Linked DNA regions of Alligator mississippiensis. The protein of the gene in region 1 purifies or fractionates together with the protein of each later gene. This does not show direct contact. Links are inferred from orthologs where the notes say so. Each region holds a gene or a part of one and is shown on either strand. Other genes may lie near its edges.

Region 1 (15,092 bases):
CAGAATGTGGTAATTGGATACATAAAAGGATAAAAAGGAAAAGTATCAGGGATACAAATACCAGGAAAAGGCATTTCTATGTAATCAGTGATTCACTGATTAATAATAATCAGACCACTTATAAGGTACAACCTGTAAAACAGAAAGGAATGCTATATATTGGAAGCAAAGATATGGGATAGACCTAAGACTGAAGAGGATTTTCATGGGAGCAGACATTAATTGGCCTTCAGGTGAGTCATAAATGACATGACAATTACTGACAGGTGTAAAGGACAACTACAGTAGTGTAGGGAAGCTGTTTAAACTTCTAGAAGTTCAAATGATTTTTTTCAGTGGGATTCTTCCTGTCCCAAGAGAAGGTAGGAGAAGATTATGACAATTAATAGATGACTCAGAAGATTGGTGCTCCTGGGAAGAGTTTTGGATGTTTGATCACTGGCTAGTAATTGTGGATAGGGAACTTTTTCTCTAGGGATCAGCTTCACTTGGGATCAAGGTTGACCTGACTGAGGAATGGCTTTAATCAAGGAACTTGAAGTGAGGGGGAAGCTGGGGAAAGTTCAGAATGAGAAATAAAAATGAACAGTAACTCATTATGTAGGATGTAAAACCAGATGTTATAGGAATAATGGAAACATGGTGGAATAGTAGCAACTTTTCTGTGATTCCTCCTTGATAGGTCATTTAAGAGCTCCCAATTTAGCTCAATTGGTGTCTTACTACATTTCCTTTTCTCTTTTCATTGAGTTGGTTTCTACTTGTGCCCTTTAATACTGCCACTTCCTGAATTCCTTTGTCCAATAGACTCACTTCACATGAAAGTTTACCTACCAATTCTCTATGTGTGTTGATTTTGTTTATTTTACTGTTTTGATCTGAGTAGAAGTTTTTCACATTTATGCTCCTACAATCTTATTTGAACCTGGTTCTTAGTAATTGCTCTTGGCACTGTTAAGGAACCAAATGGTAGTTGAATTGTGTAGAACCTTTCTTATTTCTTGGTATCAGGACAGGTCAAACAGAAAGGTCAAACAGTTGCATGGTAGTCCTGTGGTTCCAGGAAGGTAAAAGCCATTCTGAAACTGAACTGGGTTAAGGTATTTAGTCGTCTTCAGACCAGAATTGGGTGAACCCCCTGCCCTGCCCCAGATGAGAGAGAGTATTTAAAAGAAAAAACAATTGCCCTATAATCCAGAGGAACTTCTAAGTAAACTTAAAGTGGCTACTCCCAAACAGAAATTATAGTCAGATGCTGATGGCTGGCCTACTGTAGAAAGATGCTGATCCATGCTGGTTGACTAAAAGGTTTCCCAAGTGCTAGCAGCTATTCTGCACTTGGCTTGTTCCCTGAACAGCTTCTCCCTAACAGTCCTACATAGTTTACGTGCTGTCTGTGAGGAAACTAGCTGTCTCTGCTGCCAGGACTACGCTGCTAATCCAGCTGGGAATGGGATGTTCTAGTAGCTGTCCCCACATCTAACTTGTTTAGTATTAATATCAAGCTATGCAATGTGTTACAATGACCAAGTCAAAACCAACAAATCAATCATGAGATGCACTGTAGAATTGGAGTCAAATGAGCAGATTAATTTAGTAATCATATTAATGAAAACTCCTTATATGAGAGGTAGGCACTTCTTTTCCAACTGAGCCAGAATAACTCACCCTGAGTCAGAGGCAGGCAGGCATTTGTTAGGACCCAGTGGTCACACCCACTTGTCTGTGAACTGGCACGGGGAGAGTGTCTGCTCATCCCCACCATGCCATGGGACGAGTACCCCAAATCACACTAGCCAAAGTCCCGCATCTCTGTGTTGGACCCAGTGGTTCCATGGCGAATCTGGTCCATAGACTAGGTTGCCAATTTGCTGCTTTATACAAATTGTAAGATGGCTGTCTTGGTTGTAAATGTAAGCTGAAGAACTTGACTGAAGTTAATTGACTTGCTAGTTAGCTGATTTCAGTATTAAGCCACTTCTCTAATATTCTGTTATCTAATGTCTGAACACAGCTTCACAGCCAGTAAAGCTTAGACTTCAGGTTTTATCTAGTGGCTTTTCCTTTTTCTCCCTTCACTGCAACAGAAATAAGATACAGACATTAACAGAATGCTGTTTGTAACAGATGTTTCACAGCTTTTATTTGCTAGGATTAAAAGTACCAATCTTCTGTTTCCTAGGATGTTGAGAAGATAGAGCACTTTGAACCTAGAACTGTCGATAAGTTCTTCACATGTCCATGTCTCATGTGGCTTGTTAGCTCCCTGCATTTGAACTTGGATTTTTTTTGAGCCACATCTTTATCCTGAATGTCTTTATAACTCTGGATCTGAGGTCATTTTTGACAGGCCCTCGCATCAACTTTTGTCTTTGAGTCAGACTTTTGTGAGTGAGCTTCACACTCACTATAAAACATGTTCCTGTGATGTAAGACAGACAAGTACTTTTTCATAGCATTTTATTTTTAAAAATCTGAGAAACTTGCTGTGTGCAAGGTTTAGCCCTTATGGCAGACAAGAAGTCTCCAAAATCTAAAAATGTTCTATTGCTTGCCCTTGCAGATGGTGTGTCCTCAATTATGGGCATACCAGATGTTGATTATAGGGATTGTGTCCTTGAGAGAGGAGCTGTTTGCTTGTAGTTCTCCAAGGAAAATACAGAGGTGTGAGAGATTTTTATTAGTCATCTTTGCAGGAGAGGTCTGTTATCCCTCTTCAGACTTTGGAGGGGCAGAGACTGCAACCTCAGAGTAGTCCTCTTCAAACATGCTTTCACTTTGTGAAAAAAGACACTAGCTTTGCAAGGGGCATAATTTTAGACTGAGCTTGCTAGGTTCTGGCACTAAAAAGACAGAAAGACACTAATTTGGCCCCTGAAAAAAATGGCTTGGGAAGAATTCCCTTACAACCAGCTCGTTTGCAGTTACATGCATTACCCAGTACCCACAATATAGTCTCACAGCTACCAGTGTTCTCATTTCTGAATAGGGTGACATTAACATTGCATCTCCCATAGTACCATTGTGTCTGATGCAGCATCTTCATGGCACTAGGAGATCTTGTTTTCTGCACTACCCAAATCATAACTAGAGACTGGTAGTTAATGGTGTTAGTCTGAAGTAAGGCAGAAAGCAGGGCAAGCTAACTTGTTCAGAGAGACATGCTTTTGTAGGTGCTATACTTCATCATAGCATCTGATGAAGTAGGCATTTGCTTATGAAAGCTAAAGTTAGTCTCTAAGGTATGTCCTGCACTCCTTCAATCAAATGTGTTAATGGTGGTAAAGGTTCCCCCTGCCGTATCAAGGACCCCTCCAGCTCAGTAACCAGCTCCTGGATAGTACAAATTTGTGTTTAAGATGATCTCTGTTTTTCTGGGATAATGCACAAGTTTGGAAGATGTAAAGAATCTCTCTCTTGCTACTTAAAAAGTTGAGAAACCCTGCTCTAGATACAGCCGCTTTGATGTTCTCTCTGCTGCTTGTGCCAAAGCCAGGAATTGGCTTATTTGATGCGTATTGGGGGTCAGGGCCTTATGTCCACAGTGCATCAGTTAGTCCCTCCCCCTACTATGGAAAGAGGGGGCAGTGTGTCCCTCACCCAGAAGACTGACAGCATACTGGGCTGCATTGGTAGGTGTGTTGCCAGCAGATGGAGGAAAGTGATTTTTTTTCCCTCTATTCAGCATTGGTGAGGCCACATCTGGAGTAATGTGCCCAAGTTTGCCCTCGGCAAAGGTTGTGGGCAAATTGGAGAGTCCAGTGGATGGGGGATGGGAGGGGGGCAGGACTTCTGAGGAGAGACTGAGGGAAGGGGCTTATTTATTCTGGAGAAGAGGAGACGAGGGATTTGAGAGCAGCCTTCAGCTCCCTCAAAGCTGGTCACAGAGAGGAGGAGCTGGACTGTTCTCAGTGGTGGCAGATGAGAGAAGGAGCAGCGGCCTCAAGTTGCAGCAAGGGAGGCTGAGGTTGGACAGCAGAAAAATACTCTCCCGAAGAGGGTGGTGAACAGGGATCCTGGTTTTCTCTGGTTAAAAAAAAATCCCCAATTTTCAGACTTAAAAAAAGTAACCCCCAATCCATTTTCCATGATTAAAGTGAAGCACCACTATAACATACGAGCGGATTTTTGGTTACATTAGTTGACCCCGCACGGGACGCGGGAGTGAGGCGTGAGACGCACCTCACACGGGGCTCCAGGTACGGACAAGGAGCGGGGGCGCGGCCGGCGCTCGGGTGGGGACGGGATTCTGAGGGAGCGACCCCCAGCACCTCGCTGAGATCTCGTGAGACTTCTTGACAACAGAACCCGTTCTCGCGATATTTTCTTCCTCCCCTCACCCCCGCCCCTTCCCCTTTCCGCGGCTGAACAGTTGCAGCAGTAGTCTGATGAAGTCGGAGCGGGAGGCTGCGCCGGGGCTGGGGCCTATGCGTGGCGGCGGCAGCGGTAGCGGTAGCGGTGGAGGTGGAGGGCGGGACAAGCGACTCATGGAGCCTCCGCTCCGTCGGGAATCGCCGCGCCGAGAGCCCGAGACCCCGCCCCAACCGCCGCCGCCGTCCTCCTCCTCCCCCCTGGGGCCGCCGCTGCCGCCGGGCCCGGGAAAAGCGCGGGACGAGAAGAAAACTGCGCTGAGCAAAGTGAGCGCTGGGCCGCGGGGCTGGGGGCGGGGTCGGGCGGTCAGGGCAGCAGCACCGGGGACAGCGCCGGGAGGCGGGGCTGCGCCAGGGGAACTTCCCCCTCCCCCCCCCACCTCCACTGAGAGCGCCGGGATTGGGTAGGGAGACGGCCTGCTGCTCGCACGTCTCTCCTCCCGCCCCGTTAGCACGTCATAGCGTTCTGTTCCTTTCCTCGCCCTGCTGCTCGCAAGTCATAGCGTTCTATTCCCTCCTCCTCCTCCCCCGTTCGCACGTCATAGCGTTGTTCCTTGCCTGGCTCTGCTGATCGCACGTCATAGCGTTCTGTTCCCCCCTCCCCCTGCTCGCAGGTCACAGCTTTCTATCCCCCCAACCCTTGGCCACCCTAGTGAGGGTGTCCCCTGGGCGATTCCCCTGTGCCCCCTGCCTGGTCCTTGCCCAGCCCTTGGGAAGTGTTGTCCTTGCTCTGGGCCCTGTGTCTGCAAGGGGGTGGCCAGCCAGGCGCTTGGAACCCGATATTCTGCATTCACCCCCAACCAGGTCCCTTTTCTTTTCTTTTTTTCTCCCTCCCTACTAAAGCTGGTTGCTTCAGGCATGGCAGGCAGGGCCCGTTCTCCAGGCCCTGTCCCTGCCAGCGCTCCTCTCCCAGCCCAGCTTCTTTGTCTCCTCCTTAAAGGGCCCCCAAACTAGACAAAGTCCTCTCTCACCTGAAGCTGGACTGCCATCAGTGGTGTGGTGCCAGAGGTGGCACCAAGTCTCTTCTCACTATAGGGGTTGAGGTGGGCTAGACAGAAAAATTGGGGGGGGGGGGGGTTGAGGTACACATCTTCTGGCCAAACAAATGTATTTGGTTTTTTTAACAATTCCCGCTTAAATATGTGTTTTATCTATGTTATCCACAAAAGGAGAATAAAAATATATACTGTATGTAGACAGATCAGGCCAGGCTGGGAGTGCTGCGCCTCTGCAGGCAGGAGTAGGGCAGGCGGCAGCATCTCTGAGGGAGGCAGGGGGTTTGGACAGGGGCAGTGCTGGCAGAGATGGCTACTGGGGGGACTAAGGCAAATTTTAGGGCAGCTATAGCCACCCCCACAGTGCCATCCCTGTGTGGTGCTAACCTTTTCAGGGCGGTAGAGTCAGTCCGGATGTGGAGTGGATGTGCTCCCCATGGACACGTCCACACATGCAAGTACGTGCGCTTGCAGCAGCTTAAATAGAAATGGTACAAATTTGAGCCGGGGCTTTTTGCCTCGGCGCACTTTGGACATGCACTTTGAGGAGCAAATTGTGCCACTTGGGGCAAAGTAACCCTGCCTGGTTCCTCCCAGACCTGCAGCCAGGGGGAGCTAGAGCCCTGGGCCAGCACCTGTCCTGGCCCCAGCAATACAAAAAACTGCCCTGGTAAGTAGCTCGGGGCTACTCACTCTCAGGAGCATCTGGGGCCCAGCCAGTTAGTACCTGGGGACACTACCTCTTGTGCCAGCTGGACTGCTGAAGCTGCTCTGAGAGTTCCCTGCACCCTTTACCCACTGAGGCACTCTGGCAGTGGGGGCTGCTGCCTGGTTGTGACGTGCTGCGCACCTGCCAGACCCAGATGGGGATTGCACAGCCAGTAGAGGCATCTGTCCTCTGTGCCAGCTGTGGACTGTGGCTGCAGAGTTGGCCTCTGCGGCACTACTGCCAGGTGGGCCTCTGCCCGTCCATCTGGGCAGCTATTGCCTGAAAGATGTTTCGGGTGTGGTGGTCTGCTTTGAACTGTTAAAGCATGTCCTCCTGGCCCCAGCTTGCCAGGTCAGCCCAGCCAGCTGGGTCCAAAGTGCCAGCTCTGAGCAGGCAGGGTCCTGCCACTGGCCTCCCTGGCAGGAATTCTGGTGTTCCCTATTGGAAAAGTGAAAAAATCCCTGATTTAAAAAAAAAAAAAAAAATTCCAAAGTCACTCTGTAAAATACCCCCAAATCCATGTTCCTCCACAATTAAAACAAAAGACCACTATAAAGAGAGAAAGAGTGAGACAGAGACAGCAATCAATTGGGCAATGTTTTATTGTTATATCTACTGTGTTAAAGCAATGTGGAAGCCTACCAGTGTCTTTATCATAATAATAAAGTGAACTCTAAATACGTTTCATGAATTCATGAAACATGAATATATATTTGGCTGCCCCCCACACAAGGGCTATGGCCCCCCAACAGGGGCCAAATGGCCACCGCAGGGGCTACCACAAGGCCACAAGGCTCACGTGCCCCACCCTAGCCCCTTATTGTTGCCCCACCTGGCCCCATCCTACTCCAGCTGCTGCAACCCCCCCGCCCATGGCTGCCCCACCCAGCCCCACCCCCGTTCCCCCAAATCCCCCAATGACTTCCGTGCCAGGCCCCATCCCCCACTTGCACCCCTAGGTAGGCCCCCATGGCTGCCCCCCAACCCCAGGCACTGTCACTTAAAAAGACAAAACAAAACACAAGGAAAAAAAAACCCAAGAAAAAAAGCCTCTATTTACCCTAGAAGCAGGGGCTGGGGGGGTCTCTGGGGCCTCCTGGCAGAACCCCCCCCAGGAAGCAGAGGGCAGCAGGGGGTGGGAGGGCCCAGGCTCGGGCCACTGGGGCTGTCCCTCTGCCCCATGCTGTGCAGGCGGGGCCCCAGTGACCCTGACGGCAGCTGAACTGCCGGTAAGTGCTAGCGTTTTTTTTGGTATGGGGATGCTGGGGTGGGGAGGCAGGGCTGGGGCCGGGCAGAGCAGGGGTCAGAGGGGCTTGGAGGGCAGGGGGTGGGGGGTCAGGCAGAGTGGGGGGGGCGGGGCCATATAGAACAGGGGTCGATGGGGCTTGGGGCGAGCGGAGGGTCAAGCCAGGCAGAGCAGGAATTGGGTGGGCTGGGGGAGTGGGGGGGGGGCAGGAGGGGGTGTCCCCCATAGTCCCCTCCCCCCTCCTCCAGCCCTACCCTGACCCCTTACTTATGGCACTGGAGCACTGGTGCTGCGCTGTCTGGCAGGCCGCGTGTTTAGCACCAGGGAAAGGGGCCAACCATAGAGGTGCTCTGGCAGCCAGAACGTCTCTGTGGAGGACCCAGCCTCCGGTTGCCCCGCTTTTTTAAACTTTGGATTTTTTTAGACCCCTGGATATCCAGGGGTCTAATTTTCTCTCTGCGCTGCAAGTTGGCAGTGCGGGGAACATTTTTTCATTCCCGCATGTGCCTTTTGCCCCATCTCAAAAGGGTTTGAGACAGGGCAAGAGGCATGTGCATGCTTGTCCGGATGCGCCTCTTGGGTCCAGGAGTGGGGCACACATGCCCCTTTATATACATATATGTATTATATAGTCTATATGTATACATGTATGAGAGAGCACAAGCTCTGTGGCCTGAAGCTCACTTCATCAGTTGCTGTGAAAGGCCATGCAGAAAACAAGAGCATAAGAAGAAGAGAGAAATGAGAATACACCCCTGCAAACATGCAACACACATTTGCATTTTTTTTGCAACAGCATTGCATTGTTGACTGATACTGAGTTTGTCATCCACTGTAAGCACCCCTCTCTTCCTTAGCTATGTTAGAGCCAAACCCATCATGTCCCATTTCATGTTTGTGCATTTCTTTTTATTTCTTTGTTTGTAGCACTTTATATTTGTCTTTGTTAAATGTAATCTTGGTGACTATGATCCAGTCCTCCAATTTATAAAGACAACTTTGGATTTCAGTCCTGTCCCCTAAAGTTTTGACATGCTCACCCACCTTAGTGGCATCTACAGGTCTGACCACCAGGGATCCTGGTTTACTTGAATTAAAAAAAAAAAAATCCCCAATTTTCATATTAAAAAAATAACCCAAAATCCACATTTGTCCATGATTAAAATGAAACATCACTAATATATAGACCTGCATATAGTGGTGTTTCATTTGAATAATGGAAAAATGTGGAGTTTGGGTTACTTTTTTAATCTGAAAATTGGGGATTTTTTTTGTTGGAGAAAACCAGGATCCCTGCTGATCACCATATTCTCTGTCCTTGTATCCATACCATGAATAGAAATGTTAAGCAGCCTTAGCCCAAAAACAGACCACAGTGAAACTCCACTTAAGACTTGCTGCCAGATCCATTATTAGGTATGTTTTCCTAGCAATAAATTTGGCTTTATGTAATTCGTTAATGTCGTTTATTTTTGACTGAAGTATCCTGGCTCTTAAGCTCTTTGTTGTAAGATATTTCCTCTCTCCTAGAATCACACTATATGTGATAGCTGTCAATTCCTCTCCTTTATGTGACAGAAACAGAAATTAGCTGTAGGTTGTCCACTCCACTTGCCTGCTGGTGCAAGCAAATGCATACCAAATGAAAGTTTAAATTCTAGAGAGAGTTTTTGGAAAACTACTATTTAATTTGTTTACTATTTTTGCAATAATTTTATCTCTAGATTAGTGCTAATGTTACTTTTCTTTTCTCTTTGGTACTTTGCAGGTAGTTATTCGCCGGCTTCCTCCTTGCCTAACTAAAGAGCAGCTGGAGGAGCAGCTGCATCCTCTACCTGCCCATGATTATTTTGAATTTTGCACTGCTGATCCCAGGTGAGGAGAAGCTGTTTCTTAGTATTAAGAAGAAAAGAGGTATTTCTGTGCTTTTGCAAGCAACCTGTCTAAGGTACCTTGGGCATAGCTGCATACAAAATTGCATATTTTGTCCCCAGAACCTCTATCTTTTTGTTTTGTTGGTTACCTAGATTTTGCTTTTTTTTATGCAGGGAACTTTAAAACAGAAAATTATCATCTTGTTGCTGAAAATACTCAAGTTCTGTTCCAGTTTTCACTGGTGAAGTAGAAGAGAGCTTTTCCTCAATTTATATTATGCCTTCCTAATGCTGAAAAGAGCAGAGCTGGCCAAATGTTCATTTGAATTTAAATGAACTCCTTAATTGCTTCCACATTTACATTAGCTTTTTATAGACTTTCAAAAATCTAGTTTTATTCTCATGAATATTTTAAAAAGCAAACGTTAAAGATACACAACTGGTCAGTCAAGGGTAGAGCTTTTATTTCTTTCAGTATATTTTGTAATTATTTCATCGGCAATTTAAGAATAATGAAACAAAGGAAGTTTACTAACTATTTGTAGTGGGCGGTATCAACCAAGTTAAGAAAACTTTCTAACAAAAGAAGTTTCAGAAAGGGAGGAAATAGAACAATTAAAGTAACTGAAACACTTTTAACATTGTCATATTGCAATGGGACACATCTGTTTGGATGTTGAAGTCACAAAGTATGTATCATAGGGATATGTATGCTTAACTATATGCTGAATTATCTCTCTAGCCAACCCATGTATGTACCTCTGGTCACAATTCTGGAATGGTTTATTAGAGCCTGTGACTCCTAAAGCTTGAACCTTTCAGAAATATAATCACCAAGCACATTCAAGGAGATGGGGGGGAAAAGTTGCCAACAGCCAAATTTGGCTTGTCATATGCATAACATCAGAAGCTTTGGTACCAGCAATACGTTACCAGTGAAAAATTAGGCAGAGAGTGAGTTTAGGCACCTGCAGTGCTAGGATGGGTTTTTTGAGCATGTGTTAGCATCTGTATGTTGTACTTCAGCAGGATCTTAGTTTCCTTATGTCTTTCTTGAGAATCTAGTCACCATGATTTAGGAAAGCCTTTTAGGTTTCTGTTCAACTTGTGCTGCAAAAAAACCCACTAAAACATCTCTTAAAAAGACTCTCTGTGTTCAATACATAGTATTTGGTGAAATGCCAGGGAATGTTCCAGGGTTTGTGTAGCTTGATAATTCCTTGAACATTTAGGCAATTGAGAATAGGTCATATATTTACCTTTTAATTCTCTCTTACGTTCACGCAAACTAGGAATTGTCTCACAGCCTTAACTGACAAGGCTCCAGTCATCTCCTTCTATGCCTTATCTAATTGTCTCCGCAAGGACCCTGAGTGTTTTGCAAACTCCATCACATGCTGTGTTAATCTTTGTCCTCTCCTATGTAAGGAGTAAGAAAATATGTACAAAAGAAACACTGCCATATTGCTTACATAACCAGCACAGCTCACATTTGGAGTACAAACAAAACCTTTGGTGAGGAGAGATTGTCAAGGAATTTTTAACAATATGTATGAAAAATGTATTATTCTGAAGGATATTGCATATGTAAAGAGAGAGCCTGAAAAGATTGAGTGAATTATTTGCTGTGAATTATTTTCCCAGCTGAATGCTTACAACACACTGACTTGCTGGTGTTGCTGTCAGTATTCCACTTTTGCTTAAGAAGTAGATAATTCTGGATAACTGGAAAAAAAGATGAGGGCATGCTTAAAGCACTTTAAAAAATTATCTGCTTTATAGAGTAAGTCTTAAAATCTGAAAACACGGCTTTATTTTTATTTGGTTACTGTATTTTGAGAAGTTGAAAACTGACTAACATTTTAGAGACTAGACAAAAGAGACTCTAAAGTCTGGTGTTTCAGATTTATTTAGTGGCTCTTATTAATCTTTTGATAAAATAATGGTCTGGAAGGCACTTTTTTCACTGGTGATATGTATTCCAGTTCCTTGCTGTCTTCATAGAAACTAGAGCATTGTCTGTGTGGAAAAGATTTTTGGTCTAACTTTGGCTGTTTTAGAAGGAACTACCTTATGTCCATATACACATAATTTATTTATTTATTATTGCTTTGTCTTGCATTGTATGCTATTATAATTATTTTTCCTGGCACATGACAAAATTATAATTTAGAATGAGTTATACCCCTGTAACATTTCTACGTATGCACCCCCATTTCAGAATAATTATGAAACAGTCCTTCAGCTGCTATCCCACACTGCATTGCATCACATCTGCTTTGGCTTTCCTAGTTACCTTTTCTCTCTGCTGCTTAAGGTTTCTGTTGACTTGATATTCCACCCTGTGCCCTGCATTTTGAGTAATGTCACGCTCCCAAGCACATCTCTTTGTGATTTCAGCTAATGCCAAGTTCAGACACCCCAAGTGCCATGTAGTCATTATGTTTAATGCTTCTGCGTGGATTTGTCAGGAGGTCCTGGACTTCCTTGCAATTTTGGGAAAGGAGTGAATTCAATCTCAACTTCCTGTGGTCACTAAAATGCAAAGATCTACAAGCAACAGGCAGACCAAATGCAGTAGCAGTAGTCACAGTACAATCAAGGAGCTGTAATGGATTTACAAAAACAGTACTACAAAATCAAGACCTTCCAGTACCTGTACAGCCTACAAGGAGCTGGACCAGGTTTTTGCTCTAAAAGCTATCGCATATATCCAAGTGTATATTGGAAAATACGGCAACAGCCTATGGTGAGTCTTCAGAATCCACAAAGTCAGTTATGAACTCCCACACAGGAAGACATACACATGGACAACTAAGATCCCTTGAGCACTCTTTGACCCTAGCTGGTGATTCAGTTGGAAATTATCCACAAGACCCATCTGGAGACATATAGTGACTATGCAGCAGATGGGACAACATTTGTAAGTATGAAGTGCTATATTACAGCAGTCTGTCTCATTAGTATCTGTTAGAAGACTTTCTGCCAGGTACTGTCAATATACTGTCAACAGTTATGATTAGCAGATATTATCGCAACAGAGGCAGACATATCTGCTTCTATTCAGTGCCTTTAACCTTTCATTGGCTTGGCTATTTTTCCAGCTCCCACGCTGCGTCCATAAGAATACCAAAATTGGAAAATTTTGGGAGTAAAAGTATATTTTTTTTATACAAAAAAAAAAAAAAAGAAAAATTAATCCTGTGCCTATGGACCAAAATGTGAACTTCCTCAGGTCTTATTCTACTTGCTGGGCACATCTACACATGTGCATTTACTGTGTAGTGACCAAAATTACTGTGCAGTACGGGCATACATCTACATGTGCATGCACGTACTGCGCAGTAAATATGGTGACATACTCTAGCTTGATTTATGTTGCTAATTTACGCCCAATTAGTTATTGCACAGTAACATTGTGCCTTACTGCGCAGTAACATTGTATGTGTGGACTGATTTGGGACTAATTTTTGTTTGCTCAAAAAATTGTTGCACTGTGCTTATATGTCTCATCTTAATGATATCTTGTAGTCTGTTGAGGACAAAGGAGACAAAGAACTCTCTTTCCCTGTTCCCACCATAGAATATTGGAAGTGCCTGTGGTGTCCCATTCAGACAAGATAGAGCTACAATGCCATCTACACACTTAAACCTAGTATCTGCACAAATCTGTTAACTTTGTACTTTCATGGTTCCTTCAGTTTTAATCGTGTTTCAGTTTGCACTATTTTGTTGCACATAAACTCTGCTATTTAAAAAAAAAATGTGGATTTGATTAAGAACAGCTGTCTTTAATAAGTAGGGACTTTCCAAAATCACAATTTTTGTGGAAGCTGCGATTTCAGGTGTGCTCTGTGCTTTAGGTGGTCTCCCTAAAAAAACAAAACAAAACCAAAACCCCCCCCAAAACCCCTGCTGAAAATAAAATGCTGGCTCCCTCTAGAGAGCCAACAGTCCTCATGGCCACTGTGGCTGGGCCACGCAACCTGCTGAGAGTGGAAGGGGTGAGGAGGACTGCTAGTACAACAAGATGGCTGCTATCCCTCGCCACTGATTGACTGCAAGATCTATCCATCATATGGCCCCACCCATCTTCACCAATCAGCCGTGAGGGGTGGAGCCGCATAACAGACGGCCCTCGCAGCCAGTCAACAGTGACAGGCAAAGCCACTGGAGCCCCTCGACCAGTCAGAGGGTTAAGGGGGCCTGGCATGCTCCGCCCACAAAAATAGCTGCCTACCCCATGATTTTCCTGTGAAATCGGCTGACAGCATCCTCAAGTTCAATAAATCCCTATTAAAATGTTGTCTTAAAGTCAGTCTATAAAGTGCATGCATTATGATGTATTTATTTAATCTATTCAATTTCATTCATGAATTAATTTATTCAATTTCATTCAAATGTATTCATAAGGTACATGCATTGCAATGTTTTTAATTTATTCAAGCATGGCAGGTTTCTATACAATGATGATGGCCAGATGCTCTTCTCCAGTCCGAAAAACTCTCAAGTTGGTAATACAACTTTGCAGTTCTGGAGTGAGTTTTATACGGATTTAAGGAAAGAGGAGAGGGTTTCTGCATGCTGAAGTCCTGCAGTCGCTGATGCTCATGCCAGATTTGAAGCCTTAGCAATCACTCTGTTGGCTAGGCTTGCAATCAGTGCTCCATTAAGTAAAACCTGTTTGGTATTATGTCTGTAGCGGGTTTGGGGTTTATCCCATTTCTCTCAGGTTTCTCCCAATCTTTAAATCATACACATCTTTATCTTCTGGGCCCACCGGACCCTCCGGAGTCCTTTTAATCACCAATTATTCCTTATTATTAAACCTTACCATAGTCCATAAAGGATTAACCCTTCCCTCCCCTTGTGGTCTCTTAGACCTGGAGAGAGACTTGGCTGATGCCTGATACCTTCAGCCTCTCTCCCGTGCTTCCTCTTCCTGCCCATTTTTAATGTCCTTTGGCCAGCCAGTTATTCTAATCAGCTGATCTGGTCCTCCTTAGGCAGGCCTGTAACCATCCTCCACTGCCTGCAGCTGTGCTGCAGACCCATTGGCTTGCAGTCTGTCACAATGTCATGCATAGAAGTAACCACATGGCTGCAGCTTTCTCAGCTTTCACTACCCATGAAGCATCCTGGTTACAGTCATGGTGATTTTCCATGTCCTTCAAAACCACATGCCTTCATGATTGTCAATATATCTAGAATACCCTGTTCATCAGAGTTGTAGTACTCAGTAATGGTAATTCAACAGTTCTTGAACGTGGTTTGAAATTGAAGCATTTTCAAAATGTTTTGCTTGTAAAACCCATACCCATTACAGGTAGCAAAGGATTAGATGCAGTGGATTTTATCGTGTCATGATTGTGTATTTTATGTTGTCAAATTTTGTTCTCAACCTGCATTTTAGTATATACGTGAATAGAGGAATTTATTTCGTATGCTGCGATGTGAGTGAAGAACAAGGGATTGCTAACTGTTGCAAGATGCAATGAGAAACCCCTTCACTTTCTCACTTACCTCTGACAGGGTATGACAGGGTTGTGTTAGGAATCTTAGCTGTGAATCCTCATAGTTTTCGGGATATTATGCTATTTTACTGTAGTTTTTAAACAGAAATAGAAGAGTAACTGGTATAATTGCTATATTTTAAAGATGGTATCATGTTTTATTTCAATTGAAAAATTAATTATCAATCAAATTCATGAGGGGTCAAGATGAAGACGAATGGCTGATTGGTAAGTATTTTTGCTAAATTAGAATTGCATTTCTTGGGTTTTTTTTATACGTTAGTATTTGTTTAACAAGCCTTTTCTTTTTTATTTTAGGTAAAGGAAAACAAATTAAAATGGTTGTTCCTGTTCCTAATCCACACATTTATGAAGAAATATATTA
Region 2 (15,560 bases), on another chromosome or scaffold:
TCTGAAGTCTTTCACTGCTTGAATGATACGGGACATTTGTCAAAGAAGGATTTCAAAAAAAGTTACTTGGATCAACTGCAGGGCCAGACCAGCAGTTATTAATGCTGCCGAGCAATAGCTGCAGATACAAAGCAGCAGTGGCAGCATATTCACCTAATAAACAGGGGATGAGGGAATGAAAGGACTGGAAGCCTCATTCAGAAAAAGATTATTGCCTTTCACAAGGGCAGGTCCCGTCAGTACGCGTTAGCGGCGATGGGACGGCTGGTAGAGGGGGAGCCTGGAAGCTTTCATGACGATACCTGTACCTCGCTTGTTAGCAAACACAGCAAGTTACAGTTTGTTAGCACTGTAGGTAAAAAGCCGATGCTTACAAGACAACTTTCCTTTCCAGTCAACTGTCAAAGGGAAGTACCGCATGCTACACTGGAAACTGAATGTGTTCCACCTGCAACCACAGAACGATCGTCCCTTCTGTCCCTTGAGCCTTACCTGCCGGATGTATTGCCACGCCCGTTGCAGAACCACTTTTTGCTGGTGTTGCAGTAAACCACGCAGGCTGGGTCATGAATGCCACAGTAACTAGAACAAAAAAGGAAAAACTAGATCATGTAACTTTATATTTGCAGGGACATTACAAACTATTCACTGAAACACAGACAAAAGATGAAACTAGCAGTGAGAAGCGCAGGAGCAACACCACAAGCATGGGTTAAAATATTATTCCACGTTCTTGTCATTTTGATCAACTCTGTATCGATCAGCTCGGTCTCACTCGTATCCATCCACGTTGCACGACGGCAGATTTCATTCTGAAGTCAAACGCACCCTGGTTGGAAGTGAGAGCATTTCAGCAGGGGGCCCGATTCTGAAAAGTGAGCGGGCCAATGCATTACATATTTAAGGCTCACCAGAGGGCACTATCTTCCCAGCGATGCAACGTTAAGGCACAATGTCACTGCAGCAGAGGAAAGCTGCTCGTATTCAGGCTAAACTACACACGTGCTGTCTGTGCGCCGATTGAGCGTTTGTGTATTTACTAAACAGAACTCAAGACATCAGTCGGACACATCTACAGCGCTGCCTCCAAGGCGTTCAGAACGCCATGCTAACACTTGTCCCTAAAAGCTGGCTAAATATCACTGCTACTGAGATGCTCATTTCTTTTGGCCCGCAGTTAAGTTTGGGCAAACCAAGATGACAAGAACCATGCGTTGCAGCGTATCTGCATGGATTCCGATGCCTCCCTGGGATTAGTGACACTGCCTGTGCCAGAGACGTGCCACTTTCATTTTGAAGGCTGAAGCCCAAGCAGCTCCCCTTCACAGCCTACCTGCAAGCATGCACAGGAAGATCCTTGGTATAATAGGTGTCTTCTTCATCTTCTTCAAAGTTCAACTCTGCCAGAAGTTGGCTGGTTTTAGCCACATTATCATCCACGGCACCGTTCTGTAGGATGCCATCAGGTCCATTAACCTAAAACGGAAAGTGGGTCGTTAAACTTAAAAATCAAACTGTATCCCATGCTAGAAAACTGGGAGGCCAGTACCTTCCATCCCTTCACAAAGCCTCGTGATAATTTGAAGACAGTTAGGAAGGAGGGAGATAAAAATGTCAAGTACGGATAATAGGAGCATATATTGGTAACTAAAGGAACACTTCTGTCCTTTCCCCTTTGCTTAGTCACAAAGGGGTCATCACAATCACAGCACAGGAAGGGCAAATGAGTAAATGAACCAAAAAATCCTGAAGAAATGAGAGGTGCATAAAAATACACTGAAGCAAGTTTCTAAGCAAAAATTATTGTTCAGTCTGCCCCAACTATGTCTAATTCTCCAACCCAAAATGCATACTGCACATATAGTGCAGAACTAACTTTAACACCCTGCACCACAAAACTGTATTCCATATTAGGTCAGAATGAAAATTAATGAAATTCAAATATTTTAAGCATGTTCTAGCTATTTCATAAGTCTTTCAATTGGAAAAAAAAAACCCAACACCTAATAAGTGCTATTATCACTATGACAGACAAGGTTCCTTGGGTGAATTTGATATCTTTTATTAGACCAACCCAAATAGTTGAAAGAGTCAAGAAAACAAGTACCACTAGATACAACGTTAACAGATATTTCATCAGCCAAGTTTCTGAATAACAATATGTCAAAGGTGCAGAGCAATAAAGCCCATACACACCAAGCATGCAACGGAAATATTGCTTTATCCTGGCACTAACAGAGCACTACCCACCCAAGTAGGAAACCTTGCAACGCTTGCTGCTGCTGTGTCAGCAGAGCTTGTACTCCAAGCCTTATTCATGATACAAATATATTTGGCTTTTATGTTCTCCAACTGCTAGGGATCAGCACAAGGCAAGAATGCCCCATAAGATAATGGCAAGCTTTCAGACACATCTAGCATATAATGGTTAAGACACTGAATTTCCAGTCTTCCCCCATATCTGGAACGATTTGGGTTTACCTGCTTCGAATCCCAGGAATGAATGTCATTAAGAAAATAATCTGAGACAACTCAGAGTGAAGTGAGACTAGTACAGAAGACAGTGCCACGTGGAACTGGTGGCTCCAGCTTCAATCTGTTATGAACAACAGCATTCAAAAAGCAAGGAAACAATTAGGAATAATATTGAGAGGCATACTGCTTAATCCTAAATTCACCATCAGGAAAGTAAACACGATAACCTGACCACGCTGATTAGCATAGGCTTAAAGTAACGTTCTGAATCAGTACTACATGCTAGTAACCCTTGGGGTGGGGGAATAAAATATCAGTAAGTTTAAAATTAAATTGCTTTACTTCCCCCAAACAATGAAATACTGCTTTCCATCAACTCCCACCAGCCCAAAGGCAAGAAAGCAAAGCCTTGCATTAAAGGAGACCAAGGCCCTTTAACTTATTTCTGGTTTTAGTCAGACTTGTTGCCCCCATCACTGAACTCAAGGATTTTCTGAAGAAATATATCGGTAATTAATATCTGAGCCAAGGCCAAGTAGTAAGAAGGCGCACTCCTTCCAGGTTCCATATTAAGTGATAATTGTCATTTGGACACTAGCTATCTTGGGGGAGCAGCCTTAAGACTCCCACCACCCCATCCCAAGTTGCAATTCAAAAGCTACATAAAATTAGGAGACCATAAACCCACTTCCCTGAATATCCCATCTGGAAACCTCTGCAAACTAGTTTTTGGTATGCATGATAGTTAACATCCAGTTCCCAGAGTTGATTCTGAAAACAAGTAAGTACTAATTTACAAAGTACAAACGAGAACACTTTTTGAAACTTGCAACCATAAAAGTGTCCCAGGTGCAGTACAAGATGCAGGGCCATGTGCCTCCAGTCCACCCAAGAGTGTGAACTGTTAGCATAAATGCAATGCTCTGCAAATGTAGCTAGTAAAATGATAGCCAACACCTAGGTTTAAGGAACAAGAATACAGCAATGTGAGGGATCAATATTGCTAAGAAAACAGAGAGGAAGAAACATTTCCAATAGTCGGAGAAACTGCACCAGCATACAAAAGCAGATTAGACTGAAGGTCCCCTGCCTCACCACCTGCCACAAGATAACAGGTAGTTCCTTAAATAAACATCAAAATGGCATTTCATATAAAAGTAGCTTAACTGGTCATGAACCATGCAGAGAATATTCACGCCTCAAACTCATTTGAATTTTTACAAGCACAAACACCAGACATGTGCCAATGACACTTTGACTCTAACTGGCCTATTTCAAAAAGTAATTATATATTTAAAAAGTCAGCTGATGAATTTAATCAAAATGTTTGAATACTTAAACAAGTGTGGATAACTGGTGCCACTAATTATAGAGGCTTTTTAACTGTTTCTACTATTATTATTTCAAAGGGCAGTGAAACTAAAAGGTTGCTTGGGGGAAATGAAGCGAAGTGAAATTAAAAGTGTGCCAGCAGTGAAGAGACTGTGCCGTGCTCCATTCCGCCCAAGGCAGGTGCTCGGGACCTTTCATCCTGTCACATCTTCGGGCATGAATGATGTCACCTGTTGCTAGGAAAAACCTATCGCCTCGTTTAAGGCTTGGCAAACTAGCAATGAGGAAGTGACTCAACTGTTGTCTTAAAACCTTCTTGCAATTTTAGCTTCTGTACATATTGTTAAAAGTTTGACACTGTCACCCAGCTATTAAAGGGGGGCTTCTCTTAGGCTTAAAAATGTGCTGACTGCCAAGTTGCAGCACAATGAACTTAACCACCCCCTCATAAACTGTTTAAGAAGTGGGAGGGAGGTTAAGAGAAACCGGCACTCTAGAAGTAGCTGACCTGTTCCTTAGCAAAAGTAATCAACAAGAAACACCAGAGAAAACCCTGGGGACAAAGTTACTGAACGGCACTGCTCTCTCTGCTGAGAGAAAGTACCTGAAAGAGTCTCTAAACAGAAGTTTCTCCTGAGAGGAGAAGTTATTTTCCAAATCAATGATAAGAATAACATGGAAATTTTGTTCTCAATTTCTTCAAAAAGGCACTGCCTGTGCCAGTAGCTAGCAGTCCCTGGTAGCTGATGCATACACGGGCAAAAGCGTATTCACCTCCTGCCCTTCTGCTTAGGAGTTAGACAGCATGTTTAAAGCTGTGGAAAGGGAAACAGCTGCAAAACTCAATAGGTAAAATCCCAGGCCCATTGCTGGAAAAGAGTCCACTTCAGACTATGGGACTTGACTCTACCGGGTTGGACTAGATGACCTCTTCCAGCCCTACTTCTCCGTGATTACTACCGGGAATAATACCCATTCCAGCGCTGCCTGACTTAGCTGCAAGACAGGGTCGTATGCTGTCCCAGCACCAGCATTTGGGGATTTTTTAAGTAGCCAGAAGCATGTGCTAGGCCTCCAAGAAACAAAGAACATAAAATCTCTGTTTACAGGGATAAAGCAAGCGAGTCCAAACAGACAAGAAGGGGCGAAGAGGAAGGACAATGATAAAAGACAGTTTCAGCAGGATGTACAAAACCTTACACAACGAACACCTGAGCCGTATACAGCTAGACTGCACGGTGTGCTGTCAGCATTTCAGGCCGTGTGCTTTTAGAAGACTCACGTAGACAGGAAGCACGGCACCCTTTCCATCTGTTACCTTACCTTAGAGTACAAGCGCTTTTCTAAATGCCTGTCCACCCTCAGTGTCTTACGGGGCAGTGCATTTCAGAGTTCCCCGCTTTACAGACGGGAAAAGTGAGGCACAGAGTCCGAGTAACATGCCCATGATCACGTAAGAGATCTGGAGGCGCAAGAAACCAAACCCGAGTCTCCCACACTCCAGACTACAGCCCTATCCGGCTAGCCTCTGCCAAGCAGTTTTTCAACCAGTTGAGCATATTAGCAGTTGAGTTGAGCCGTGTCCCTCCTCTACAGTAGACTTTAAAAAACTTGTCAGTGGGCATATCAGCTAATGTGCCAAAAGCAGCTATTTTAAATCTCTGCCTGGAGAGGGCCCTGAAGAACATGAAAGGGAGAAGAGGAAGTAGGTGGTGAGAAACAGAGGTAAGACAGCTGCAGTTAGAAGATCAGGAGTGTAGCAGTGTGTGCAGAAAGGCTGATTTACATACAGGCTTTAGAAAAGGGCCGCATCAGCTGACCTGTGAAGAAAGAAACTGTATGGCCATCACTTTTGCACCACTGACCCCTTATTCCCTTGCTAGTGGGACACTAGTCGACTTCAACGCCTTTCAAAGTGCTCAGCTTAATGCCTGCCACAGGAAGAAAGCCCTCATGTGGGAAAGTGCCATTTCCTACACGGTCGCAAGTTGGGTCTGCTAACATGCACAAGTCTGGACAGATATGTACCGAAACTGCAAAGACAAAGCAAACGTGGTCTGAGATACACTATGGTTTATACTGCCTACAGAACAGCGAAAAAATATAGTCTTGGTAAAAAAAAAAAAGTGCTTTTCTTCATGCTTGTTTTGCCAGTTTTGAAAACTATTCAGCAGCTTGTTGATAAAACTCCAAAATAAGATCTTCCCTTGAGTGGGGGTAGATGATCCTCGCTACCTCAATATCTTCTTTACGTGTTCCTTTCAAAACAGGAAAATGCCTTTAGTGTTAATCCCGAGGCAGAGACTTTTAACACTGGTACGGCACTCAACCAGGAAAATCACGAGGCAGCGCCGCCAGATGTGAGCAAACCACCAAAGAAAATGTAGAAGTGGCGTGACAGCTCCTAGAAACTTATGACAGGACGATACACGGTACAAGCACGGTGCCCGCGTATGCTATGAAACTATGTCTATACACACAGGACAACACAACCCGGTTACACTCGCAGGCCTGGCACACGCGGGGTTTTGATGAGATCAAACCTGTGTACCGCTTGGAAAAAAAGTTTATTTTTTGCCCTACCAGACAAGCCGTCCTGTCACCGTGCGTGCTTTTCTGGCACCCGGGTTTGAATGCACGGATTTGACATCCAAATAAACGCACAAGAAAAAGACACAAAGGTGAACTGAGAAATCCCTGTCAAGACCCGAGTTCAGGGGCCTGGGTTTCTGCTACCGACACCAACAACTGCAGCTAAAACCAACGCAGGGACCTGCACTCCCACTTCTGCCTTTGATGCATTGGCAGCAGGAGCACAGTCCGAGCAAGAACGCAACCCAAAATGAAACGTACTTCACCTGCTAGAGCCGATTCTGGGCTTTACCAGCATTGCGATTCACTTTTAAAACTTGCATTTCAATGTCCCCACGGTTTGCAAACAGCTCGCTGCAGGGCAGCAGGACCCCACACGCACACGGGGATGGGCGGCCTGGATAAGACGCTGCGGCCCCGACGTATGAAACCGCCGTTTTTCTTTCTAATGCAATTTTCCAAGCGTCCGAGCCGCGCCGCCGAGGCAGCTGCGATCCTCAACGATTATATTTCCTTCTGCGGTGGTCCGACCCCAACTCAAATCCTCCCTCCTCTTCCTTCCCCAGCCCAGGCCGAAGCCCCAGGTAGCAGCAGACCCGCCGCGCCCCGGGGAAGAACATCACTCACGTTCCCGACTGACGTTGGGCCCTAAAGTCTCCCTTACTCACCTTTGACTCCTTCCCCACCTGTCCCTTTACCTTTTCTTTCCCTAATTCCTACCTATGTACGCGCTCTCACGGACGCTTTTAGCCTCTTCCGCTCCTCGAAGACGATCGCGCGCCGCGCAGACTCCCTACGCCGGACGAAGGGGGCTGCGCCCGCACGCTCGCAAAGACCTTTCCCCCCCCAGCTATTTCGCTGGTTTAATAAGAGAGCGGGGGAACGCGGTCCGGAGCCGTTTCCCGCTCCGTGGAAGACGGACGCTTGGTTTATATTGTCTTTGAAGGAACGAAGCTGCGGCGCGGTGTAGTTCTTGCCACAATAGTTTCTGCGTCTGCCCAAGGAACCGGCCCAGGCTGACACGCGAGCTGCTGCCCCGGCTTCTGGGGTCGGCGCTTTGGGGGTGCCGAGTCGTGCGTTTGGTGACACTTCTCGCCCGCTCGCCCGCCGGCGCTGGGCCGGCCCCAGCCCCACGGCTGCACTTCCCCGCCGCCCGCCGCCACGTGCTTGGGGAGAGGGATCCCCCGGCTCACCTGCGCCTCGATGGGCCCCGGCGGGCCCTGCCCCACGCCGGCCGCGCCCGGGCCCTGCCCCGGCCCCGGCTGCCCCGGCCCGGGCGGCGTCTGCGTCTGGCTGGGGAGGGTGAAGTCGGTGAACTCGAACTCGGAGCCCTGCGTGTCGGCGCCGAGCAGCTCGGCCTCCTCCGTGTCCAGGAAGGTGAGCGTCTGCGAGCTGGGGCCGTACGCCTCCACGCTCATGGCGGCGGCCGGCCGGGCCGGGCCGGGGCCCGCACCGCACCGCACCGCACCGCACCGCACCGCACAGCACCGCACGCCGCGCTTGGGCCCCGGGAGGCGGAGGCGGAGGGAGGCGGAGGCGGCGGGAACGGGAACAGGAACAGGCCGCGCGCGAGCCCCGCGACAAGGAGCCAACGGCCGCCGCGCGCCCGAGCCCAACCGTGCGGCCGCCGCGCGCCAGGCCCCGCCGTGACGACACACGCACGCCAGCGCCGACGCGGCGCGCCACGTACGCCGCGCCCGTGACGTAGCACGCACACCTGCGGGGGGAGGGCGGGGTCTAAGGCTCGCTGAGGGGAGGGGGGAGAAGCGCCGTTTGTCATTGCCCCTCAGTGAGGTGAAGGGAGGGAGGGGGTCTGTTATTGCCCCCTCAGTGACATGAAAGGAGGGAGGGGGTCTGTTATTGCCCCCTCAGTGGGGTGAAGGGAGGGAGGGGGTCTGTTATTGCTCCCTCAGTGACTGGGGGGGTCTGTTATTGCCCCCTCAGTGACATGAAAGGAGGGAGGGGGTCTGTTATTGCCCCCTCAGTGGGGTGAAGGGAGGGAGGGGGTCTGTTATTGCTCCCTCAGTGACTGGGGGGGTCTGTTATTGCCCCCTCAGTGGGGTGAAGGGAGGGAGGGGGGTCTGTTATTGCCCCCTCAGTGACTGGGGGGGTCTGTTATTGCCCCCTCAGTGGGGTGAAGGGAGGGAGGGGGTCTGTTATTGCCCCCTCAGTGACTGGGGGTCTGTTATTGCCCCCTCAGTGACATGAAAGGAGGGAGGGGGTCTGTTATTGCCCCCTCAGTGGGGTGAAGGGAGGGAGGGGGGTCTGTTATTGCCCCCTCAGTGACTGGGGGGGTCTGTTATTGCCCCCTCAGTGGGGTGAAGGGAGGGAGGGGGTCTGTTATTGCCCCCTCAGTGACTGGGGGGTCTGTTATTGCCCCCTCAGTGGGGTGAAGGGAGGGAGGGGGTCTGTTATTGCCCCGTCAGTAACTTGGGGGGGGTGTTATTGCCCCCTCAGTGATTGGGGGGGTCTGTTATTGCCCCCTCAGTGAGGTGAAGGGAGGGAGGGGGTCTGTTATTGCCCCTCAGTGACTGGGGGGGGGGGTCTTCCGGTGCCCCCCAGCGAGGGCTGTGTCCCTGCAGGGGTGGGGCGGGCAGGCGGGGCTCCCGTGGCAGTAGCACTGCGCAGAGGTGTGAGCCCCGGCCCTGTGGGGACAGGCGGGGGGTCCTGGGAGTTAACCTGCATCAGAGGAGACGGGGCACAGCCATGCGAGCGTCGCAGGGGACGGGACGGGACGGGACGGGACAGGGCGAGTGGGTTGCACCCGGGGCATGAGAGCAGCGTCCGACTGAGGTGTGTCCGAGAGCCCCGAGCGCGGCTGTGAGACCTCCAGTGCCGGTTGGTGAGCGTTCGCCGGGGATGGTGCAGACAGGCCCAGACGATCCCAAACGGCGCCAGGTGGCCCTTGAGAGCTCTTCCAGCCTTATTTTTCAGTGGTTTGTGGTTATCAGGCTGTCGCTAGAGAAGAAATCTCTGTACCTGTTTCCTTTAGGACAGGGTTCTTAACCTTTTTAGACTCAACCCACCCCCGTTAGACTCAAAGCCGCCCTCGGATAATGCTAGCTTAGTTCTCGCTCCTTTTTTGACTGCAATTTTTCCGTTGCAAAGAACTCCAGAAGATGGCAACAGGTGAGAGTGTTTTTAGCGCTATGGACTCCTATTTGGATTGTCTGGGTTTATCATGAGAGTCGTGTTTGCACACCTAACAGTACTAGCATTGTGTGGCACCCTTGAAAGGATCTCGGAGCACCCCAGGGTGCCATTGTACCCTGGTTGAGACTCACTGCTGCAGGGGTGCAAGATTTTCCACCTTCCCTTTCTTATCAAGACTTTGTATCCAGAGTGGATGAATGCTGTATCCGTGCATTGGCTGCCTACCTGCCCTTGTTTGCAATAGACTGATCACATCCCCGTGTCCAGGTTACATGTCAAAAGCCACCTTGCCCACTTGACGTGGGGTCCAAATGGCTAGAGCAGGACACTGGGATTGAGGGCTCCCTGAATCTGTTCCCACATCACTAGGAGAGTGTGGTGTAGTGGTTAACCAGGAGTTTGGGAAGTACAACTCCTGGGTTAATTTCCTCTTTTCCTCCCTCAGTTTCTTATCTGTAAATTAGAAATAAAAATACCCATTTCACACTAAAATGTAAAGATTAATTAATCATTGTAAATCATTTTGAGACATATGGGGATTGAGGAGTATCAAGTACTAATTGGAAATTTGGCTGTGATTGAGAATGATCAAGTTTTGTTACTGTTTACTGTGCTATTTGCACATTTGGCAAACAGTTGCACAAGAGGGTCTGTAACTGGATATGCTGTAGAAATTGAGCTCTCTGCTCATCTTCAGAAATGGTCCTGCCAGGTCCAAGCTGAGGGACATTTGAGAAGATGCATGGGAATTCTGTGAAGACACGGAGGACTTTGGTTTTGGGTGTTTTCATCCCATTGCCTTTTACTAGTTCAAAATTCAGAGCTGTTCTAAACTAACTTCTTCAAGTTGGTTGTGGCAAAATGAAATGGAAAGCTGGAGATGGTCATTCTCCCCCCCCCCCCCCAAAAAAAAAAAAAAAAGTGATTTCACAGCTACTGAAGATGGGTATATATTTCCTTCAACACATAGCCTTTATTTTGTCCCTGTTTTCCCTGTAGAATGAATCCCAGGAACAGACGCGCAGGCATGCAACGGTCCACTAGAAGCATTGATGTAGAATGGAAAATTGCACCTTCTATTTTCTGAAGCTTCCTCCTCGTTGGACTATCCTATACCAATCATATGTAGAAAAAAAAAAGTAGAGAAGCTGAGAGGGCTAATATTTCTATATACACATTGTTTGATTTCACCTTTAGTTCTGAGTGCCCTTGAAGAAGCGGAGTATGCTCTAGGCCTAATGTAAAATTGTCCACATTTACAGTTGTGACCTAGTAGCTAGCACCTTGCCCTCCACTATGGGCAGTTCTTGGTCTTCCTAACTAGCTTTCCAGGACTGTGATCCACATATAAATATGTAAATGTTCCTTGAATAGACAAATCTATCTGGTTGATGATAAAAGAACTGCCCCTTAATCCAGTTTTATCAAGTGATATTATTTAGCATCTAAGGGCAACTTGGGGCCTATTTACCAGTGAGCCATGAGAGGAATCGGCTAAACCTGGAACCTTAAATTGGAGAAAACTTGCTTATGAATTATATATCCCTTAATACCCCTTTATACAGTCTTGTCACTGACTTCTTTAATGAAGGGGAGGATTAATAAGGAGTTCTTAAATCTGCCAGTTATCCAAGGGAATCCCCACTCGTGGAAACAGAGCCGGAACACTAAAGTAGGTTAGTGAAGTGAACCATTAAGGGCAAGAATGGAAAGCTGACTGTGATCACAGCCCCTGCCGCTATCCTGTGCCAGGGCACAAGTCTAAGTCATTCCACAGAGCTTCCACAGCTCAACAGTAGTTACAGCCCACCTGAATTAATCTGCAAGTGTTTGTGTGATAAATAGAAAATCAAGTGAAGAGTTATTTTCAGTTATCCTCAAAGGTATCTTCTTTTGTCTTAATATTCTCATTATTTTTAGTGTCCCATGGAAAAAAACCTTATAAAATGAGATCATTGGGTCCAGTGTCACGGTACTTTCTGTTTTGTTGGCTGTCATGAAAGAGTTCTTGGGAAGGAGACTCCCCGGCCCTGAGCCTTACACCGCTTCTCTAAAATTTACAGTTTCCCTATTCTGCAAAAGCAAGGAACAAATCAATCTTGATCTGTGTATCAGTAATAGTAGGAGGATAATTATCTGGGTCCTCAGAGTCCTCCTATCTTATAACCATCTCAGTCACGAAGCTCTGGATGATGTTAGCAAGAATGAAACATGAAAGCTCAGTCATAAACTTTGAAGCATCTTCACTGAAGACAGGTTTGTGGAAGACTGCATACATATGTGGGCCCAAGGATGGTGCAAGTCGGTGACATCTGAGCAGGTAGGTAAAACTGATCTATGAAAATGTGTCTCAGCCAGTTTAGAGCTGTGAACAAAAGTCCTGCTCTCTGTGGAGCCAACTCTAGGCTTATCATAAGGAACTTTCCCACCACGTTGACCTTGTGTTGTTGGGTTTTTTTGTTTTTAAGGATTTTATTCTGGTGAAAGGCATGAGTCCAAGAGCAGTAAAAGAATGAAACACCATGTATCCACAACATGCAGAACATGGGCAGTTGCAAGTGCAGGCTTCTTCCATGCTCTCTCCTTGGAATGCACCTCAGCTGCTTTCTGAAGAAAGCCCCTTTACATCTGAAAGGTTAGTTCAGTTTCCATTGTCCCTTCTAGCCTCGACTTCTGAGATTTGCCAAGAAAGGGGATAATTGTGGGGTGGCTTCATGGCCTAGAGACTGGGCCTCTCGGAGCTCAGGACCAACAACTCTTTTCATTTAGGCCATTGGTCAGCCATCAGGTTGAGTAGTTTTGCACATTGTAAGTCTGGAACAGATTCACCTGGTAATCCAAAGGTTTTGGAGGATTTTGTATTGTCATTTGCAGACTGCAAAATCATCCATTTCTCACAGACCTCTTCATAATTTTGGAGAGCTGTGAATTTTGAATCAGAAAAAATGTAAATGACATGAACTGTTAGTTTCCATATCTCTGGGATAAGGTCAGTGCAACTGTGGTCATGCTTAGTCTTGTTATCTAGAAGTAGTGAGTTGTAGTCAACAGAAGAGTCAAAGTACTTGTACATAAACTGTCTCCAGCAGCATTGCAGGATAGTCTCACTGAGCAGCATTTTGTAGTTCCCTAAAATGAGATATTTATATTAGAGGGAAGCTTAATAGAAACGACCTTCACAATTCTGGCTTGAAATGCATGGGTGATATGAAGGGTACCCAGGCTGTAGCTGTATTGGTCTAGAGGCAAAAGGAATTAGAACTCATGGTAGAGGTGATATCTTTTACTTGACCAACTAGATTTTTGCAAAATAGGTGATATGAAGCAAATGTCTGTGTCGAGAGAATGCTGCCCAAACCATTTGTTCCCAAAGCTGAGACAAGCACAGTTACAAGAGAATACTAAATCCCACTTCAGCTTCAAAGTGGTTTTGCAGAGGGAAGTTATCAAGGCAAGTGGGCTGCTTGGTATGGCTTCTTTGCTTATTACCACTAAGAATGCCCTTCCAAATTTTGATTGTCGTACAGCATTGTTAGAAGTTTTGGGAAAAGATCAAAAGGTTTGGCGAGTAGCTGAGAGATGCCTCAATTCCACCCTCCCTCCTCTGTGCGCTACATAAAATGGAAGCTGAACCAAGATTTGAACAGAAATCATTCTGAAGGGGTAAGGAAACCCTGAAAGAGGTCCTCTGGTGAATTTTACAGCTGGCTCAGCTTCTGAAATGGGAGCACCAGCATTGGCGGTGTCCTCTGACAAGACTAGGCTGCTGTCTGAGGTGCTGAAACAGGAGGGCTACAGATGAAGTTCAGCAGTCCCCCCACCCCTTCAAGGGCTGTTCAGTCTCTCCCTTTTCCAAGTACTAGACAGAAAACCACACGGAGCCAGTCTATGGGTATTGCCTGTTCACTATGATATCTTCAGGCAGGGGCCACTATATCAAATTGCTAATTAACCAACAGCACGGTGCCCTCACCTAATTTTTATTTTAAAAAAGGAGGCTACAATTGCTCTTATTACCTGTTTCTAAGTGTGCCCAGTGAACATGCTAGGTTATGATTTCAGGGGTAAGGCACTTGAGGATTTTTGTTTCAATCATACTACGTTTCATCTTTGCCCTTTACGGACTGCACTGCCTTCTTGCAGATGAGTGCGTCTGGAACCTGCACTGTGTGCCTTCCTAAGCTGCATTTGTCCTCTGATCCATACTTTGAACAACTAACAGTGCATGTGTCTTTTAATCCAGGGCACCTATAGGATTGATGGCCACTCACTGACTCTTGGGTCTGCATTGCTCTGTACCCAAAAGGAACTGAAACAAAGTGAAGTTCTGGGTAATTAGGAACAGTGCCTCTGCAGACGTGGTGGTTCTTCACCATTTCTTGTGCGGTTTTGGAACCTAACTTTGCAGTAAATGCTCAGCAGGCTGGAACAGTGCAGGAAAACAGACCCAGGTGGTTTTCTTTTACAAGGGTTGTTTTCCACATGCCAACAAATGCTTCTGCGAGCAAGATGGTTTTGTTTGTTTATGGTTCTGACTGTCATGCTTACCAAAAAGGTGGTGGAAAGGCCATCTGTAATTTGTAGTTGTGTAAATTATATTTATTAGTGAAGGCAACTCATTCCTCTCAGAATTGCTAGCCTTGCTACATGACTTTCCTTGAAATACATTTTACTCCCAAGGCACTTTAGCACTGGGATTTGATAACATCCCCCATTCAAAACTGTAATGAGAGGAGAGAAAAACAAGCTGTTATGAAAAGGAAAGAGCTGATTGGTCTTGGAAAACTCCAAGCTCTGGAGACAGTGTCAGGACGTGTCACCATGATGCAAAGCGCTCAGAGCCAATAAAAGTGGCTCCGAAAATACTCCACAAACTGCTAATGACTATGAACCAAAAAACCCAAATGATTTTATCTTGGAAGTGAACAGTCTGGAGTTAGGGAATCACAGGCATAAAATGGAGGGCACACGTCTGTGTTACCTGATGTTCATTTGTGACTGGCAGTTCACAGGGCAAGGGATGCTGCAGGGGAAAATAAGAGGGTATTGCCTTTTCCGACATATCCATTTTGCCACTGCAGAAGGACTTTGGATTTCAGACTGGCCCAGAGCATGCAAATCATCAGTTTTTAGACCTTTTTGACCTTTGTATCTATTGTAGTAATTCCCTGTTCTAATGATAAATTATTGATACAAAATGCTGTGCAACTGCAGGTAATTTAGGGATGTATATAAATTAGGGTTTCTAATACTGTCTGAGCAGCACCCTCCGGTCTTCCTTTATCCACAACTTAAAAAAGCAAAGGAAAGTCAGGTAAATAAATAAATGACGTTGTTGGCTTGTAGCTCTCTAGTTTCCCTTTTGAAGTCAGACCCATCCAAAAGACTAGATATCCATATTTATGTGTGTGATAGTGCTTAGCAACCTCTCTTAGCAACACCACGCTGTCATGGACACATCCAACATCAACTGAAGTGGTTCAGGGGAGGGAGAGGTGAGGGATGGTAATTTGCTACAGAAGGTACCATTGTCTGTTCTAATTATTAGCAACGGTTCGGCTTTTCCACCCCCATCACTTCATCAAAACACTAATTGTTCAGATGCACGTATACTGTGGAATACATTTGTGTCACAAAAACTGTGCAGTGCATGCCAATAAGGTAATTTTTTTTTTTTTTTTTTTGCAAAAGAGAAATAACCTGTCTCACACTGTTTCTAAACAGCAAAAGGTTCTGAATCCTCCTCCCTGGTTCAAATTTGTAAAGACTTGCATTTCTGACACGAGCATTGGTGAAAGATGAGAAATTCATTTTAGCATCAAAGGCCTGGAAAGGCTTTTCTTCTCACTAATCTCTCTCTCTCTCTCTCTCTCCCCCTTCCCCCAGATTTCTTTGATTCTACTCATTCTCCACCCCCGGGCCTACACGGATTTTTGTTATTTTTTTTTTTGCGTGTGGGTGGTTTTCCAGCTAGGGTCTGTTATGATGTTACAAGTTATCCCTCATCT

What was found.
Region 2: the proteins of UPF3A (region 1) and UPF1 purify together in Homo sapiens (affinity purification with western blotting; 5 studies listed by BioGRID and IntAct, with this or other methods). This does not show direct contact. The link is inferred for Alligator mississippiensis from reciprocal best matches to the Homo sapiens genes UPF3A and UPF1.

Annotation. Positions count from the first base shown.
Region 1 is NC_081824.1:350,625,992-350,641,083, reverse strand, and holds the start of UPF3A (regulator of nonsense transcripts 3A), read left to right. Parts: upstream 1-4,351; 5' UTR 4,352-4,388; coding exon 4,389-4,637; intron 4,638-9,088; coding exon 9,089-9,195; intron 9,196-15,092. UniProt on the Homo sapiens protein: Involved in nonsense-mediated decay (NMD) of mRNAs containing premature stop codons by associating with the nuclear exon junction complex (EJC) and serving as link between the EJC core and NMD machinery.
Region 2 is NC_081839.1:1,279,970-1,295,529, reverse strand, and holds the start of UPF1 (regulator of nonsense transcripts 1), read right to left. Parts: upstream 8,039-15,560; 5' UTR 7,818-8,038; coding exon 7,593-7,817; intron 1,477-7,592; coding exon 1,334-1,476; intron 583-1,333; coding exon 493-582; intron 1-492. UniProt on the Homo sapiens protein: RNA-dependent helicase required for nonsense-mediated decay (NMD) of aberrant mRNAs containing premature stop codons and modulates the expression level of normal mRNAs.